Linked DNA regions of Saccharomyces cerevisiae S288C. Changing the gene in region 3 together with the main gene of any one other region gives a genetic interaction. Each region holds a gene or a part of one and is shown on either strand. Other genes may lie near its edges.

Region 1 (5,557 bases), on a different chromosome or scaffold from region 3:
AGCTCTGACCGAAGTTTTCTCTGCAAAAAAAATTCATCGATTGAGTATATCGGAACGCTCTCGATATTACTTGTTTTACTATCGGAGAGTTTAATTATATCGTTTTCAATGTTTGGCAATGCCCTCTTGTTTTTTTTTTTAGAATTGACTTCAACGTCATTGTAATCATATTCCTCATCATCATCTTCATTATCATTGATTTCTCCCCCAAGAACATTAGCATTGTTGGACATTTCTGTTACTTCTTCTTCATCTGATTTTTCATCATCGGCAAGAATTGCTACTGCTTGTTTATTGCTATTGTCAGGATGTGTTTCATAATCGGTAATGTTTTTCATAAGTTTAACTAATTCGTTAAACTTCAGGGAGTCTATATTGATGCCTAGCTCATGCTGGATCTTTTCCTTTCGCTCTTCAATATTACCATCCTCATTTTCCTCATTTTCTTTCAATTGTCTGATGAATATATCAGCAGTTCCAATAATAAGATCATGGGGTATATCATTGCCTAAAACTTCTGTAACCCACTGCAAAATCTGCTCGTAAGTTTCGACATTTGAGGGATCCTTTGGATAATAATGTAACCTGAAATCGGAGGAAGAATTCAAAATGGTGTTATGCTGCTGAATTTTTTTCAATGATGCGCTCTTTCCAGTTTTTTCAACGGCTACATCATTTTCTTTTAGTCCTTTATTAATGTTATTGCACAGGCCCTGTCCCATATCCTTAGCACTAATTCTACCACTCATGGATTTTGGTTGTGATATTTCCGCATCCCTTTGAGGATTTTGGCTGGTATTCATAAAGCGTTTATCAACTTTCAACACCTTATTGGACATCTCATCATAACGATAAATTTCTCTAATTTTTTTGGCCTTATCCTTCGTTTCATGCTCAGTCATTTTTAATAACGAAGGCTCACGGTAAATCTTCCAAAGCAATTACTTATATTTACCTTCACCTTATTTTACTCAAGATTATCTCTATTAGTGTATTATTCCTTTATAGTAGACATAGCTTTAGTAGCATAAATTTTTAATATTCTCGTAAAGAGCGACAATATTCAATATTAGATCGTCAAAGAAGCAAACACGCATTGATATCTGAGAGATCATCACAATGCGTTAATAGTACTTGATTCAACACCACTAATTATCAAGTTTGTTCCTGTCTGAATGATATGGATAGTACGAATTTGAACAAACGGCCCTTATTACAATATAGTCTCAGTTCATTGGGCTCGCAAATAACAAAATGGAGCTCATCTAGACCGACTTCGCCAGTTCGTAAGGCGAGAAGCACTGAAAATGACTTTCTTTCCAAGCAAGATACGTCTAGTATCCTCCCAAGTATCAACGACGACGGCGGTGAACAGTGGTACGAAAAGTTCAAGCCCAATTGTTTGGAGCAAGTGGCCATACATAAAAGAAAACTTAAAGATGTACAAGAAGCTTTAGATGCCATGTTTTTACCTAACGCCAAGCATAGGATCCTACTACTGTCTGGCCCCAGTGGATGCTCTAAAAGTACGGTCATAAAAGAACTCTCAAAAATCTTAGTTCCTAAATACAGACAAAACAGCAACGGAACGTCCTTTCGAAGCACCCCGAACGAGCATAAAGTGACCGAGTTTAGAGGTGATTGTATAGTCAACGATCTTCCTCAGATGGAAAGCTTTAGTGAGTTCTTAAAAGGCGCACGGTATCTTGTGATGTCCAACCTGTCATTAATACTTATCGAGGACCTTCCCAACGTCTTCCATATAGATACCAGACGTCGATTTCAACAACTTATATTACAGTGGCTATATAGTTCGGAGCCTCTATTACCTCCCCTTGTTATATGTATAACTGAATGTGAAATTCCAGAGAACGATAATAATTATCGCAAATTTGGTATTGATTATACATTTAGTGCAGAAACCATAATGAACAAAGAAATATTGATGCATCCAAGGTTGAAAAGAATTAAGTTTAATCCAATTAACAGCACTTTATTAAAAAAGCACTTGAAATTTATTTGTGTACAGAATATGAAAATGTTGAAGGAGAAAAATAAATGGAATAAAAGACAGGAAGTCATAGATTATATTGCGCAAGAGACTGGTGATATTAGGTCGGCCATTACGACCCTTCAATTTTGGGCGACATCAAGTGGAAGTTTGCCGATTTCAACCCGAGAATCCACCATATCATACTTTCATGCCATTGGGAAGGTGATACATGGTTCCCATAGCACGAATAACGATAACGAAATGATTAATAACCTCTTCGAAAATTCGAACAATTTGTTATCGAAAGAGGATTTCAAATTAGGAATATTAGAGAACTATAACACATTTAATAAAGGCGAATTCAGCATTTCTGATGCATCATCAATTGTGGATTGCCTGAGCGAGTGTGATAATATGAATGGTCTACCAGAATCCAATGAGTATGGTTTACGAGAAGTGCGCAAAACCTTTCGTAACATCAGTAAACAAGGCCATAATCATGGAACGGTTTATTTTCCAAGAGAATGGAAAGTAAGAAAATTACAAAATTCATTTAAAGTTCAAGCTGAAGATTGGTTAAATGTTAGTCTTTATAAGTACAACGCGGTACATTCTTTCAGGAATATAACTCTAGAATTTGGCTACTACGCACCTCTAATTAGAAAGTGTCAGAGTTATAAAAAAAAATACATTCTCTATTATTTGAAGAATCTTCCGAGTGGCTCCTCGGGGCCCAAACAAACCATGGACAAATTTAGTGATATAATGAAAGTTGAGAACGGAATCGACGTTGTGGATCGGATAGGCGGGCCTATCGAAGCACTATCTGTGGAGGATGGACTAGCACCATTGATGGATAATGATAGCAATAATTGTGACCATTTAGAGGATCAAAAAAAGGAAAGGGACAGAAGGCTTCGCATGTTGATTGACCAATATGAAAGAAATGTGATGATGGCTAACGACGATCTTGAAGACGAAGAAACTTCTTTTAATGATGACCCTATTGTCGATAGCGATAGCGATAACAGCAATAATATTGGCAATGAAACATTTGGTAGAAGCGACGAAGACGAGTCTCTATGTGAAATTCTGTCCCAGAGACAGCCGCGTAAAGCGCCAGTTATCAGTGAGTCCCTTTCAGATTCAGATCTGGAAATACTCTAACTTTTTACTCTTTAAATTTGACGAGAAAACCCCAGGAAATATTCCACACAAATCTATGCACATTACATTCTAGAATAAATTAATAAATAAAAATATATACATATATATTAATATGTATATATGTATGAATATAGTTTTCATTACAAAATAAGGCTTACTGTAGAGCATGTTGGAAATATTCAGGATCTTCTTCTATAGATTCCTTGATAATATCCAAACCTCCCTGGAACTCCCCATTGATATATAACTGAGGAAAAGTAGGCCAATCAGAAAACTTCTTCAAGCTTTGTCTAACGTTTTCGTCTCTTAATATATCAAAAAATCCGAACCTTATTTGGTGTTCTCTGAGGATACCAACTAACTGTCTAGAAAATCCGCATTTAGGTTCTGATGGGCTTCCTTTCATGAATAGCATCACAGGTGCAGCTTGTACTAGCTTCACCAGCCTAGCATTTATTTCTTCTTCAGTTTCGTCCTCTTCATCATCGGAAGACCCGCTGCTTTCCTCATCAGACGTAGATTTAGGACCCTTGGCATTGTTCGCTAGTGAGGCAGAAGCATTCGAAAGAATTTCTAAGCTTTTCACAAACTCCTTAGGATCTGCGGCTGATATTTCTTTTACAATAGTACCATTTTGAATGAAGACGAAGTATGGTACGGCTGCAATCTCAAAAAGGTCTGATATTTCTGGATGTTCGTCTGCATCTATTGATAAAAACCGGACATCCTCTTGCCTAACTTTTTCACTAACAGCTTCTAGCACCTGGCTCATAGTTTTGCAAGGATCAGCCCATTGAGCTTTAAAATATAAGACAATGAGTTTATTAGCAGCGTTTGTAGTGGTTAGTTGCGTAAATTGGTCCTGGCTTTTTATTTCAACCACAGTCATATTTATTGGAGGAAGAGCACAGAAATTTAGTTATATGTAAGTGGAAAAATGAAATATGCTCAGTACCCAAAGACAACAATGTTACCGGGAAAACGAATCAACGTTCCTGGCAGTAACAGATTAAAAAATGGTTCAACTGGTACAGTATTAATATGCTATTTAAGCTAAATATCAACCAGTCTTCAGATATGGTAACTTTTTCTAGGACATCTGTGAATACGTCGCGAGGCTTCACCAATTAAAACGCGCGCTCTTACTAAAATTTCACGAATATAATGCTTATTGGCTGAAATTTTCAGACCCTTTTGCCAAGTTTGTAAAAAGTATTCCAAACAACTTCAATTTTGGTGTTGGTGGAAAGTTCCGGCCTCCTCCTTAGTGACTCTTTAATAAACCAATCTGCTACATCTTCTTTATCTTTGTTCTTTGGATCCTGCTTCCACTGATGGTAAGCGCTCCAGGTTCTGACATAATCTGCAAACTCCACTAGGGTGACCTGCTTTCTGATTAGCAATGGCTTCTTTGTATGCTGGTGGAGTTTTACTTTGTCTCTCACATCTTCTGCACAAAAATATGAAACTTGTATATCATGGAAAAGTTCTGGGTCTAAGTGAGAGTCTTTCAGCATATTACGAAGGCGAGATCTCCCCGGTTGTTCCCAATAGGGTCCCAGTCCTTGCTTCCCGTAAGGAACTTCAATCATCAGATCATCAAATTCAGGGTAGTCCGGGAAAATTGGGTCCGCATAACCCCAAATAGCGATAGTACCATCTTTTCTCAAATTGGCATAAGCAGATCGCTGAAATTTTTCGAAATCGAACCAATGAGCACATTCTACTGCGGTAATCATATCAATTTTCTGTTTGTCTACTGAATCCGCGCCTAGGAATTTAAAATCATCACTTGAAGAAATCTTAAATGAAACGTTTTTGTATGTATCAGGACTTCCTTCCTTTATTACTTCTGCAGTCTTAATCATGGTAGCGGAGAGATCGCTTCCGATAATTTGTTCGAATGGTTTTAACTCCTGAGCCATTTGTAAAGTGGCAGTACCTGGTCCACAGCCAACATCTACGAGTAATTTCCTTTCTCCGTCGTGGTATTCATCAATCATCTTGTAAAAATCGGAGGGATAAGAAGGTCTTGAAGATGAATATCTTTCTGAGTTGAAATCAGAAGCAGAAAAGGTAGACATTATTATCACTTATTTTGTTATCTTGTTAGGAGATAATTCTCATAACAACTAATAAAGACTGCTACAACGAAAACATACTAAATTAGTTACATTCCTTTTCCTTTAAAAATGAAAATAAGGAAGATAAACTTTCGGAAAACCAGAAAAAAAAAGGATATTACTGTGAGTCATGAACATCAACACATAAGGTGTGATTCATTTATAGTAAACAACGGCAGAATTGCACCTAATTTTTCTGATTAGATAGGTTGATGGAACACCCTTTTTATTGGTCATTTAACAATGCATGAGACTACATAAAACATTTATCTGT
Region 2 (5,874 bases), on a different chromosome or scaffold from region 3:
AAAAAACCAGTTCACCTTTTGAAAAATGCCGGTCCTGTCAAAGTTGAGGCAAAAGTTTGGCTCGCCAATGAACGTACATTCAATAGATGGTTAAGTGTAACCACATTGCTGAGTGTATTGACCTTTTCTATCTATAATTCAGTGCAAAAAGCCGAATTTCCACAACTAGCTGATCTGTTGGCCTATGTATATTTCTTTTTGACTTTGTTTTGCGGAGTATGGGCTTATAGAACCTACTTAAAAAGATTAACTCTTATTAAAGGTAGAAGTGGTAAGCATTTGGATGCACCTGTGGGACCTATTTTGGTTGCAGTTGTATTAATCGTTACCTTGGTTGTTAACTTTAGTGTGGCTTTTAAAGAGGCCGCTAGGAGGGAAAGAGGATTAGTAAACGTTTCCTCCCAGCCTTCGTTACCCCGTACACTAAAACCAATTCAAGATTTTATCTTCAATTTGGTTGGGGAATAAGAACATGTATATTTTTTATATACACATATATTACACAAGTACCAGTTACTATCATAATTAATTAATTGTTCTCTATTTATACATATTTGCTCTTCCGTATTAAATCATATTAAACAGCTTTCAGCAGGTGCCGGCGCCGCCTCTTTTTATTTTCAAAATTCAAAATGCACATAATGAGAAGATGTGTGTGATAGTTAAACCCAGATCAAAAAATAGCTGAAACGTTCGTTTCAGCTCCGCAAATCTATATTGCTAATTAAAATTATTCATCAATATCTACTTCTGTTTCAGTTTTTTTCCTCTTCTTCCTCTGACCTTTGGATATCATAATAATGTCAGTTGAAGTAGATAAGCACCGGAACACACTACAGTATCATAAAAAGAACCCTTACTCCCCTTTATTCTCCCCAATTTCTACATATAGGTGTTATCCTCGGGTATTGAACAATCCCTCCGAGTCTAGAAGATCAGCCAGTTTTAGTGGTATTTATAAAAAAAGAACCAATACGTCAAGATTCAATTATTTAAACGACCGCCGTGTTTTATCAATGGAAGAATCAATGAAAGATGGGTCAGATAGAGCTAGTAAAGCTGGTTTTATAGGAGGCATAAGAGAAACTCTTTGGAACTCAGGTAAGTACTTATGGCACACATTTGTGAAAAACGAACCTCGCAATTTTGATGGTTCTGAAGTAGAAGCAAGTGGTAACAGCGACGTTGAGAGCAGAAGTTCTGGAAGTAGGAGCAGTGACGTACCATATGGTCTACGTGAAAATTATTCCTCGGATACAAGAAAACACAAATTCGATACGTCGACGTGGGCCTTACCAAATAAAAGGAGAAGAATCGAAAGTGAAGGTGTGGGGACACCTTCAACCTCACCAATCAGCTCTTTGGCTTCTCAAAAAAGCAATTGTGATAGTGACAATAGCATAACTTTTTCGAGAGATCCTTTTGGTTGGAATAAGTGGAAAACAAGTGCTATTGGTTCTAACTCAGAAAATAACACTTCTGATCAGAAAAATAGCTACGACAGGCGACAGTATGGGACAGCCTTTATTAGAAAGAAAAAAGTTGCAAAACAGAACATTAACAATACTAAACTGGTGTCGAGAGCACAATCTGAGGAAGTAACATATTTACGACAAATATTCAACGGAGAATATAAAGTTCCAAAAATATTAAAAGAAGAAAGAGAAAGACAGTTAAAATTAATGGATATGGATAAGGAAAAAGACACTGGCTTAAAAAAGTCTATAATCGACTTAACTGAAAAGATCAAAACAATTTTAATTGAGAACAACAAGAACAGACTACAGACAAGAAATGAAAATGATGATGATTTAGTATTTGTTAAAGAAAAAAAGATATCTTCTTTGGAAAGGAAACATAAGGATTACTTAAATCAAAAGTTGAAGTTTGATAGATCTATATTAGAGTTTGAGAAAGACTTCAAAAGATATAACGAAATTTTAAATGAAAGAAAGAAGATTCAAGAAGATCTTAAAAAAAAGAAAGAACAATTGGCCAAGAAGAAACTTGTTCCTGAATTAAATGAAAAAGACGATGACCAAGTACAAAAAGCTTTGGCATCTAGAGAAAATACTCAGTTAATGAATAGAGATAATATAGAGATAACAGTACGTGATTTTAAGACCTTGGCACCACGAAGATGGCTAAATGACACTATCATTGAGTTTTTTATGAAATACATTGAAAAATCTACCCCTAATACAGTGGCGTTTAATTCATTTTTCTATACCAATTTATCAGAAAGGGGTTATCAAGGCGTCCGGAGGTGGATGAAGAGAAAGAAGACACAAATTGATAAACTTGATAAAATCTTTACACCAATAAATTTGAACCAATCCCACTGGGCGTTGGGCATAATTGATTTAAAAAAGAAAACTATAGGTTACGTAGATTCATTATCGAATGGTCCAAATGCTATGAGTTTCGCTATACTGACTGACTTGCAAAAATATGTTATGGAGGAAAGTAAGCATACAATAGGAGAAGACTTTGATTTGATTCATTTAGATTGTCCGCAGCAACCAAATGGCTACGACTGTGGAATATATGTTTGTATGAATACTCTCTATGGAAGTGCAGATGCGCCATTGGATTTTGATTATAAAGATGCGATTAGGATGAGAAGATTTATTGCCCATTTGATTTTAACCGACGCTTTAAAATAGTTATTCTTTTATAATATACAATTATTATACATAAGTAGAAATATTCAGATCATTGGATATGGAATAAAGTTCAATAAACCACTTGAAAATAAATCATAAGAATAGCATAAGCACCAGCTCAATTTAGATGTCTGTACAAAAAGTAATATATTTTAGAGATGAGCAGGCAGAACCACACATTAGTGACGATTGTCTTCGACCTTATGTGGAATCTTAAGCTTTAACATATAAGTAAAAATTTTTATTTTCAACAAAAGATTAGAACGAAATGAAATTCCTTAATTGAACCTTCTCTTGGATATCAATCTATTGGCAATCATTCCTAGAGAATATATTATTGAGTGAAAACTGTAGATACGTGCTAAGCGGTAAAGCCCTTATGAACATCGTCACACTATCTCTATATTGAGCCTCCGTAAATTTCGAATCATTTGAAATTCATTTTTCCTGGTAGGAAGATACTTGATAGTGGAGGATAAGTAAAGTAAATTGTGGTTATCATTTATTTGGTGGTAAAGTACCTTTTTTATGTTTTTTTTGAAGATGGAAATTCAGGCATTTTAAAAAAATAGAAAGCTCGAAATATCTCAAAAAACATAAAAATAGAGGAAGAATCCGCTGAATATACCATCTTTACAAACTACTTAACTATTTATTTTTAAATATAAAATTTTTAGTACCATCATCGGAGGATTGTTGCGATCGTATTTTTTTCTCCATTTTTTTCCTATATGCTATGCCACATCGACTACATAGCTCAACATTTCCATTAGGTCCACTTCTCCACTGAGAAGTCCAGGTGTCACCACAAGTGGCGCACTCTTTTGGTTGACCGTTGGGGAGTATAGTTTGTTTCTTCCTACTTTTAGGTCTATATCCTGCTAAAGATTTCTTTCCATTGGATGATATTGGTAGTGATGAAAAAGATGGGGCTGGTAGAATAGAGGGGTTATGCAAAGGCCCACCAAGACGACTTTCTTCCTTCAATTTTGGACTCAGCGCACTATTTAAGCTTTTGATCTTCTGTTCAAGAATATCTGCTCTTTTTAAATCTGGCGTGACACCAGATTTCGGGATACTGGCTACTGAACAGCAATAATTGGGATTAGCGGCAATGAACAGAACCATTTGTACAAAACGATCGAAGTGGAATTTCGTTCTACGACCAGAGCTACTAGCGCCGCTTGTTCCCTGCTCTTTGTTATATAACATAATATGATTTAAAAGTTCTATCACTCAGCACTACAACGCAGTATTTTTATTCTAGATGACCAGTATAGCAAATATTGTTACCCTTGAGATATTGGTAATTTAACCAAATCTCAAGTCATAAATGCCTCCCTTTTAAGTTTACATAGGCAGTGGACAGATTGGTACATCATATTAAAGGAAATAATGAACGCTAAAAAGAATGCCTTTTACTGACACATTCACTTTTAATACGAAAACGGATTTTGTGGTATATGACGTTGAGCACTGCGTGGTTTTCTGTGAATCCGCCGTGCCTAAAATGGACCCTTAATTATTTAACAATAGACCGGCCCGAATAATGTTAACATGAAGGGAAAAGTGCACATAACTGCAAACTACTTTGGTAGGTTGATTATCAGAGCTAAGCCATCCTACAGGTAATGATTTCCAAATTTTTTCTTAAGTAAAAAAGTTCAGAAAATAGAAGAAATATAAAATTTAAAAGGAATTACTGTTTACGAGACACATCGTTCATTCTTGGATAAATATACAAATCTACTTAAGAAAAAGCTTTCCTTATTTGTTGTTTCCTACTTTGTACCATTTGGTTTATTATATATCGTTGTGGAAAAGAAACTTGGTCTCTTGAATCTTAGTCGCAAAAGAAAATTTTTACCCACATAGGTAATGGAAAAGAGACAAAATTATTTCTGGACCTTATTCAAGAGGATGAATTTGAAGCATTTATTAATAATGAATATGATTGTGCGCTTCTAAGAAAAACTCACGGGTAATTTGGCTTAAAATGATTCACTAATGCCACGCTCAGATTCCACCAAATACGGTTAAAAAATCAAAAATAAATGAACTTCATTTGGTCATTTTTACTGCTAAAAAGTGGAAGATGAATTGCGGATGATATGAAAAATTTGAGTGAATAAACTATGAACGCGAAAAAAAGAATATATATGCGGAATAAAATATCAAAGTAAAAGATTCAAAGAGCATGTCTAACTTATAACATATACGGTCGAAGTCACCAAATGAATATTGTTATTTTCACTATAGTTAATCGCATTTTATACTGATGTTTTAACAGGGTTCGTTAAATTAAACAATATTTTACACAGGTGCTTCAGGAACATCATTATGATGATCATGTAAAGCGTTATCATCAGTGGTCTTACCAGGAGATTCAAGATTTTCATCTGTTGACTCTTGTTCTTGTTCTTCTTTTTCTGTTCTCAAGAAGTAGTATATTCTATCCGTCAAATCTTCGTCATTAATAAGTTCATTAATCTCATTCCATGAAAGCTTTTGAAGCTTATTGAAGCTCTTGATCTTTTTGCGGAGATTGAAATAATCAATTTTTGACACTCCAGGAACATTCAACAGTCTCTTGAATTTAGACTCGTTATCACCATCCTTCAGGCCCTTTGCAGTGCTATTAAAATCCGATCTAACTTTATTCGTTCCCAATATAACTGCATTACTAGGGTCAGGTTGCTCACGTCCTAATTTCAACTCTAGGATTATATTTACAGTTTGCAGGGGTGAGGAAGACCATATAATCTTTAAAGTGGGAAACCGCAATACTAATTTGGCTAGTTTTAGCTGAATTTCATCCTGGGATAACTTGCTTGATATAGGATGAACAGTTGATATGTCTTTATTCTTATAATTTCTACGTTCACTAAAAGGTTCTAAAGAAAACGACTGTCCTTCATCAAACTCAATCAATAGTGTCGGATATGCATAGTATTTTAACATTTTTTTACATTGGTTGGCTAATCTGTTATTCTGTAATGACCCAATTAAGTCAGAAATCGATTTTCTTTCGAGACAAATATCAGGAGTTATCACATAATCGCCGACTGTCAACATACAAGGAATAACCCTTATGCCATATCGGTAGAGTAAGCCTGGTAATGAGGCATTAAACTCACGTGTATCCACAATGACGACATCCTGAGTAAGATTATGGAATCCCTGCTGCCCACCCGCATTTCTGGTATTA
Region 3 (8,473 bases):
GCACCCAAACGTTGGCAATTCCCACACAAAGTGATTTTTCTTTCAATTTACGCGATAATAGTGCCGCTAATGGTAAATTTATTAGCAGCAGGGCTTGGCCTGGAATTGCTAAAATGTTCGAAAGAAATGTAGAGTAATTTAAACTCTTTAATATCAAAGATAAATAGGAACCAACTGTTTGAAGAGATATGAATGCTGTAATACCTTGGATAAACAATGGCCATAGATCAAATTCTGTTAGAGTGTACAAAATCTCCTTGAAGGTAACTGGTTGTCGGTTACTCATGTCACCCTTTGATGGGTCATCCCTTAAAATTCTGTTAACCATAATTTTCTCCTCATACTCAGTGAATAACGATTTTCCTTTGTGAAATGCAGACTCACCAGTTTGCGTAGGTCCTCTACGCATTAAATAAAAGGATGCCACGCCAACAGAAAGGGACAGAAACCCTTCAATTATAAATAGGTACTGCCAGCCAGCTAAGTTATGAATACCCCTCATCTCTATGATTCCGGAAGCTAAAAGAGAGCCTAAAATTTGGAAAAGAGGTATAGCACACCAAAAGAAACTTAGGCGGAATGTGAGCTCAGCTCCAGTATAATAATATGACAAGTATAGAATATTGTCCGGGATGAACCCGCCCTGTACCATTCCTAATAAGCATCTAGTAGCAATAAATTGACCTCGATTTTTCAGACCAGCTTGAGTAATACAAATTACACTCCACAACACAATTTGAACCGGAATGACCCTTTCTGGACCAAATCTTTTGGACAGCAGATTGCCGGGTAGTTCACTTGCTAGAAATATAACTAGATAAACAGTTTGGCCAAGGTTGTAGTCGTTCGTGTTCATTTTCAAGTCAACAATGAAGTTGTCTGAAACTGCCCTTGCAATATTTTTCCTTATTAAATCCAAAAAGGCAAACATAATAAAAACCCACAAAAAAATCTTCAAGTCCATTTTTCTTACCAATTTCTTTTCCTCATCCTTTGTCCATGTAAACTCAGGATCGAATTTAGACAAGCCTTCATAACCACTGGATTCATAGACTTTTCTCCAACGCTCTGCTTTATGAAAATCGTCAAATGGGTTATGTGAAATACTCTCCGAATCTGATGTTAAGCTTTCTGCGGACACAGATAATTGGGCCTTTTCTACAATATCGTATTCTTCTTTTTGTACGGACATAGATGAAACTTTGTTTGTTGATTGAATTTTTTATTAATTGTTTGTACAATAAATAATTTCAATAATCAACAATTGAACGCTGCCTTTTTATACTAAATGATTCAGTAGAAGACGAACCTAGCGCAGGGAATACGTCATGTATTTGATAGTAAGCGCCAAACCTATTAGGCAATAAAGTGTGACAAATTGGTAGCATTGATAGTTATTCCCAATTGACCCATAGGCTGTTGAAATGAAACCATCAGTATATGTTGAAACCTCAAGTGAGGCGTCAACCTCTAAGTGAGGCTTCAAGCTTCGCCAACTATTATATATGCCACATGACTGCAGGGTCCTTATTTTAAGGAGCTAGCTGCAACGACTTTGTGCTGTAAAGGGGTGCAGCAGCAAATGTAGCCTATTTGCTCGAGGTTTTTCTTTCTTACGAGAATGCTAGCAATTCAAGATAGTACGTTGTAATATGATGCATTTCGGCACAATTATCCGAGAAACGGACTATTTCGGGATTATATCGATCCGAAATTCTCTGCGTCGAGCCGAATGCCAAGGAAAAAAGTTCAGAGAATGACTACAAACAGCCTTGGCGACGGCAAAAGTAAGCTTGGTAAGAATGGCTTGATCCACACGGTGATTCTTGTATCGGGTCAATGCATAATTTTGATTGTGAAAGGCGCAATTATTAAGGCTGCATTCTTTAGCTTGTCTTGACTCCTACCCGTCATCGTACAATCTCCACATTAAAAAATATCACGACATTTATAAATCTTCTTCACACCGGATTAAACAAAAAAACTGTGTTAATCGGATCCGGGAGAAAATGCTAATATCTCCTTCTTGTTTGTGAAATGATGATAACTGGGCTGTTGAACGAAAATGAAACTTCTCAAATACACCTATTTATTAATAAATGTTAATTTATATTTTAAAAAAAGGTAAAAATTAAATGATCAGGTTTGCGATCCTGATTTCAAAATCATGGCTTGGATTATATCTTAGAGACGTATGGATTTCAAACAAATGCCTATTTGATTGAATATTACAGATCTACATTATCTCTTGTACATAAAACATTATATAACAGACATATTGATATTAACGAATATTTTCGAGCCACCATTCATGAAAGCCTAGTTAATGGATTTATGCGGTATTCATTTCGTAAACTTGACATCGTGTGACCTTTCATTGACAGTCAACTGGAAGACATCTCCCCTAGCATAATGTCCGACAGGGTCAAGATCAAAGCGAGCTTCAGCAATCAAGTCAGTGTTAATTTCGGCGGTTAAAAGGCCCTCCTGCCCTAGCAATGGCCCTGCAATAATCTCTCCATAAGGATCAATAATAACACTACCTCCATTAATACAGTTGTCGTCAGCAGATGGCCATCCAGGTAATTTTCTCTTACCTGTAGCTTGGTCAATAATCTCCCCAAAGCCCATTGCTGTCGCATCTGGCATGAACTGCACTGCACTAATCAAGAATAGACGACCTTCGTATGCAATATTTTTCATCACAGTCCTCTAAATAGGCCTAGCATCCACCGTTGGGGCACACCAGATCTCAACCCCTTTTTTATACATGGCGTATCTCAGTAGAGGCATCATGTTCTCCCAGCAGATAGCACCGCCAATCTTCCCAGCAGCGGTATCCACGACAGGCAGAGTCGAACCATCGCCTTGACCCCATATCAGTCTTTCGCCAGCTGTCGGCATCAGTTTTCGATGCTTCCCAACGTAGCCATCTTTAGGATCTATATAAACCATGGTACAATATAATGTCGTCCCATCGCGCTCTATACACCCCACACATAAGGATGCGTCGGTGGCCTTCGATAGTGCGCACAACTGACTAATTTCTGGATATTTCTCTCCGTTTCCGATCTCAATTGCTTCGGCAAGATACTTAGCATACTCCTCCCTTCCTTCTTGAAGACGGTAGCCTAGATAAACCCCAAAGTTCGATCCCTTTGGATAACCACCAAGAGTGGCTTCTGGGATAACGACCAACTTGGCACCAGATTCCTTGATCTCCTTCTCATATGACAAAATTTTTTTCAAGGTATCCTTAGTAGAGCCCGGACAAGAGCCGATTTGAAGGGCAGCAACAATGTGTTTCGCCATTGTGGTTAACTAGAGGTAGCCTCGAAAAGTGATTGGCTAACCCTAAGTCATAATATCACCCTTTCTTATTGAAGAGCTTTTATTATTTATATACACTGCCCTTTATGAGTCACGGAGGCCTGGGCTCCATTTTTTTTACGAAGCAAAAAAGATAGCTCATATTTCGTAAGCATTAGGCCAACTTTACTGATAACCGTTTTCAAATCGCGGTGGGATTAATATAATGTGGCGTTCATAGTGAAATGTGGCTCCAAAGTATAAGCGTAAATGCGTTTGCTTATCGAACCGCAAGTAACTTGTAATTTCACCTCTATAATTTCGAGCGGTTTTTAAGATACACCATGTTTCAAGTAACCACCTTTCGCCTTTTTCCTCTGTTATCGAACTTCCATCTGTAAAAAGTTCGCTTGCAGAAGAAAAAAGGCACTACACGGAAGAGGACTGATAATTAATGAAAATCAAGCTATGATCAAACAACTACTGGCTCTAATATATGGTTTCGGCTACATAATCTAATTGTCATATCTGTTATCTCGACACTCGTCTCTCGATAAACGAGTTCTTCACTGTTGCTAGGTGCAGTGGTCGGCCATAGTTATCCATACAAAATTCCAATTTCTTACGCGCATAGCAGTCGATACATGCAAACATCTCGACTATTCTGGCGATAGCAGTACCAACAATCACCAGCACAAATTTTGTCACCTGTGCTTTGCTAGAGTTACTTCAGTACTAATTAGATTATAATATTTTGCAGCATTTATTGGTATAGAAAGAAAAGCTCGAGCACTACCAACTTTTATCTGATATACCGAAAAATGCATAAATATCTTCTCTAGTTTGTGCGTTTTCTTGTCGCCCTACCTCACAAAAGAGAAGTACTGATGGCTAATAATTGTTGGATCGATTCATTGTATCTCTTAAATGTCAACAGAGCATAAGTCAGACTCTTTGCCATTTTTAAAAAGCTGCGAAGGCGAACGTGACTACGGGGTGCGGGTTTTTGTATTGCTAATGTAGCATGACAGCTTATCCAATGTTTTGTTGTGTTCATTCAAACTATTTTGAGCCTCACTTCAATTTTGTTTGACTACTAACATGGCAGCATGCGTCGTTTCTAGGTGCTAGCCAGGCTGTGAGAACGTAAAATTAGCCTATGTTCAACATTCTCTGCTTTTCAATGTCACTGTTCATTTTGTTACTATGAAAGTAGTTCGTCGCAATTTGTACTTTTCTTCGAAAGTCTTCTTTTGCAGTAGATGAAGTGTGTTCTGAGAAATTGATGCTTTCAAATGGCCTTAAAAAATTTTTGTATCATAGCTAACAACATACTGTTGCGCCAGGGGAAGTGAAATCATGGTTGTATATTACAATAGCATTATGTGCATTTACCAAGTATGGAAAAGCGGAAAGTGTGAAAGAAGTTTATGAAAAAAGCGGAAAATAAAAAAAAAAAGTTTATTTTCCTGTGACTTCTGGGAAGCAGTTAGACCTCCTTCGCTGTATTCTTAGGTGCTATACCTCATTTCCACGATGGTAATAGACGATCAGTCTATTAATGCGCTAAAGAACGTAGAAAAGTTATTAACTGAAGAAGCTTTGCTAATGCCGTCGCACATTAAACGGCTAGACATTGCCTTGAATAGGAAGCCGAATAATCTACGAAATATCATGGAGCTTCAGGGCCTTGCATATACTATAGTAAAAAAAAAACTAAGTTTTCCCCTGTAGTAAACAGGGAGATACCGTACGGAGGTCTGAATTCCCTACAGAAGTAGCTGTAAAAATTCAGAATTCGCAACAACCTATAATTGAGTTAAGTGCCTTTCCAAGCTAAAAAGTTTGAGGTTATAGGGGCTTAGCATCCACACGTCACAATCTCGGGTATCGAGTATAGTATGTAGAATTACGGCAGGAGGTTTCCCAATGAACAAAGGACAGGGGCACGGTGAGCTGTCGAAGGTATCCATTTTATCATGTTTCGTTTGTACAAGCACGACATACTAAGACATTTACCGTATGGGAGTTGTTGTCCTAGCGTAGTTCTCGCTCCCCCAGCAAAGCTCAAAAAAGTACGTCATTTAGAATAGTTTGTGAGCAAATTACCAGTCGGTATGCTACGTTAGAAAGGCCCACAGTATTCTTCTACCAAAGGCGTGCCTTTGTTGAACTCGATCCATTATGAGGGCTTCCATTATTCCCCGCATTTTTATTACTCTGAACAGGAATAAAAAGAAAAAACCCAGTTTAGGAAATTATCCGGGGGCGAAGAAATACGCGTAGCGTTAATCGACCCCACGTCCAGGGTTTTTCCATGGAGGTTTCTGGAAAAACTGACGAGGAATGTGATTATAAATCCCTTTATGTGATGTCTAAGACTTTTAAGGTACGCCCGATGTTTGCCTATTACCATCATAGAGACGTTTCTTTTCGAGGAATGCTTAAACGACTTTGTTTGACAAAAATGTTGCCTAAGGGCTCTATAGTAAACCATTTGGAAGAAAGATTTGACGACTTTTTTTTTTTGGATTTCGATCCTATAATCCTTCCTCCTGAAAAGAAACATATAAATAGATATGTATTATTCTTCAAAACATTCTCTTGTTCTTGTGCTTTTTTTTTACCATATATCTTACTTTTTTTTTTCTCTCAGAGAAACAAGCAAAACAAAAAGCTTTTCTTTTCACTAACGTATATGATGCTTTTGCAAGCTTTCCTTTTCCTTTTGGCTGGTTTTGCAGCCAAAATATCTGCATCAATGACAAACGAAACTAGCGATAGACCTTTGGTCCACTTCACACCCAACAAGGGCTGGATGAATGACCCAAATGGGTTGTGGTACGATGAAAAAGATGCCAAATGGCATCTGTACTTTCAATACAACCCAAATGACACCGTATGGGGTACGCCATTGTTTTGGGGCCATGCTACTTCCGATGATTTGACTAATTGGGAAGATCAACCCATTGCTATCGCTCCCAAGCGTAACGATTCAGGTGCTTTCTCTGGCTCCATGGTGGTTGATTACAACAACACGAGTGGGTTTTTCAATGATACTATTGATCCAAGACAAAGATGCGTTGCGATTTGGACTTATAACACTCCTGAAAGTGAAGAGCAATACATTAGCTATTCTCTTGATGGTGGTTACACTTTTACTGAATACCAAAAGAACCCTGTTTTAGCTGCCAACTCCACTCAATTCAGAGATCCAAAGGTGTTCTGGTATGAACCTTCTCAAAAATGGATTATGACGGCTGCCAAATCACAAGACTACAAAATTGAAATTTACTCCTCTGATGACTTGAAGTCCTGGAAGCTAGAATCTGCATTTGCCAATGAAGGTTTCTTAGGCTACCAATACGAATGTCCAGGTTTGATTGAAGTCCCAACTGAGCAAGATCCTTCCAAATCTTATTGGGTCATGTTTATTTCTATCAACCCAGGTGCACCTGCTGGCGGTTCCTTCAACCAATATTTTGTTGGATCCTTCAATGGTACTCATTTTGAAGCGTTTGACAATCAATCTAGAGTGGTAGATTTTGGTAAGGACTACTATGCCTTGCAAACTTTCTTCAACACTGACCCAACCTACGGTTCAGCATTAGGTATTGCCTGGGCTTCAAACTGGGAGTACAGTGCCTTTGTCCCAACTAACCCATGGAGATCATCCATGTCTTTGGTCCGCAAGTTTTCTTTGAACACTGAATATCAAGCTAATCCAGAGACTGAATTGATCAATTTGAAAGCCGAACCAATATTGAACATTAGTAATGCTGGTCCCTGGTCTCGTTTTGCTACTAACACAACTCTAACTAAGGCCAATTCTTACAATGTCGATTTGAGCAACTCGACTGGTACCCTAGAGTTTGAGTTGGTTTACGCTGTTAACACCACACAAACCATATCCAAATCCGTCTTTGCCGACTTATCACTTTGGTTCAAGGGTTTAGAAGATCCTGAAGAATATTTGAGAATGGGTTTTGAAGTCAGTGCTTCTTCCTTCTTTTTGGACCGTGGTAACTCTAAGGTCAAGTTTGTCAAGGAGAACCCATATTTCACAAACAGAATGTCTGTCAACAACCAACCATTCAAGTCTGAGAACGACCTAAGTTACTATAAAGTGTACGGCCTACTGGATCAAAACATCTTGGAATTGTACTTCAACGATGGAGATGTGGTTTCTACAAATACCTACTTCATGACCACCGGTAACGCTCTAGGATCTGTGAACATGACCACTGGTGTCGATAATTTGTTCTACATTGACAAGTTCCAAGTAAGGGAAGTAAAATAGAGGTTATAAAACTTATTGTCTTTTTTATTTTTTTCAAAAGCCATTCTAAAGGGCTTTAGCTAACGAGTGACGAATGTAAAACTTTATGATTTCAAAGAATACCTCCAAACCATTGAAAATGTATTTTTATTTTTATTTTCTCCCGACCCCAGTTACCTGGAATTTGTTCTTTATGTACTTTATATAAGTATAATTCTCTTAAAAATTTTTACTACTTTGCAATAGACATCATTTTTTCACGTAATAAACCCACAATCGTAATGTAGTTGCCTTACACTACTAGGATGGACCTTTTTGCCTTTATCTGTTTTGTTACTGACACAATGAAACCGGGTAAAGTATTAGTTATGTGAAAATTTAAAAGCATTAAGTAGAAGTATACCATATTGTAAAAAAAAAAAGCGTTGTCTTCTACGTAAAAGTGTTCTCAAAAAGAAGTAGTGAGGGAAATGGATACCAAGCTATCTGTAACAGGAGCTAAAAAATCTCAGGGAAAAGCTTCTGGTTTGGGAAACGAAGGAACTCCAATCGGGAATGAGGAGAGCACAAATAAAGCTAAAAATGGAAATAAAAAGCGGAATAAAAATCGAAACAGAAATAAGAAGACAGAGACAAAGGAACAAAATGAACCTAAACCTGTGACTGGAGGGGAAGAAGTGAGAGTCGAGAAATCTCAAGCGAAAAACAGAAGGCGGAAAAACAATAATGGAGCTAATAAAAAGAATACCCTACACTACTCAAAGGAAATTAATGTAGAAGAGCGAAAACAAATCGCAAAAAGGCAAGAAGAAATCGAACAATGCATTCACACCTTATCCGATTTTAAACTGTTTAAAAAGGGTAAGCACGTTACCTCATATGGCT

What was found. Genes that interact genetically often act in the same process or in processes that back each other up.
Region 1: mutations in NIT1 (region 3) and GRX4 together harm fitness more than expected from each alone (negative genetic interaction), as found in Saccharomyces cerevisiae (one large-scale study listed by BioGRID).
Region 2: mutations in NIT1 (region 3) and ECM23 together harm fitness more than expected from each alone (negative genetic interaction), as found in Saccharomyces cerevisiae (one large-scale study listed by BioGRID).

Annotation. Positions count from the first base shown.
Region 1 is NC_001137.3:535,120-540,676, forward strand, and holds GRX4 (monothiol glutaredoxin GRX4), read right to left. Parts: upstream 4,050-5,557; coding exon 3,315-4,049; downstream 1-3,314. Other genes in the region: ATP-dependent RNA helicase BRR2, read right to left, coding at 1-902; RAD24 (Rad24p), read left to right, coding at 1,181-3,160; TMT1 (trans-aconitate 3-methyltransferase), read right to left, coding at 4,345-5,244; YER175W-A (uncharacterized protein), read left to right, coding at 5,531-5,557. UniProt on the Saccharomyces cerevisiae protein: Monothiol glutaredoxin involved in the biogenesis of iron-sulfur clusters. Binds one iron-sulfur cluster per dimer. The iron-sulfur cluster is bound between subunits, and is complexed by a bound glutathione and a cysteine residue from each subunit.
Region 2 is NC_001148.4:509,105-514,978, reverse strand, and holds ECM23 (Ecm23p), read right to left. Parts: upstream 3,879-5,874; coding exon 3,315-3,878; downstream 1-3,314. Other genes in the region: VTC3 (vacuolar transporter chaperone), read left to right, coding at 1-468; SUMO protease ULP1, read left to right, coding at 801-2,666; ssDNA endodeoxyribonuclease RAD1, read right to left, coding at 4,980-5,874. UniProt on the Saccharomyces cerevisiae protein: Involved in morphogenesis. May be involved in cell wall organization and biogenesis.
Region 3 is NC_001141.2:31,375-39,847, forward strand, and holds NIT1 (Nit1p), read right to left. Parts: upstream 3,313-8,473; coding exon 2,713-3,312; downstream 1-2,712. Other genes in the region: SOA1 (Soa1p), read right to left, coding at 1-1,192; YIL165C (uncharacterized protein), read right to left, coding at 2,344-2,703; YIL163C (uncharacterized protein), read right to left, coding at 5,525-5,878; beta-fructofuranosidase SUC2, read left to right, coding at 6,011-7,609; SMU2 (Smu2p), read left to right, coding at 8,059-8,473.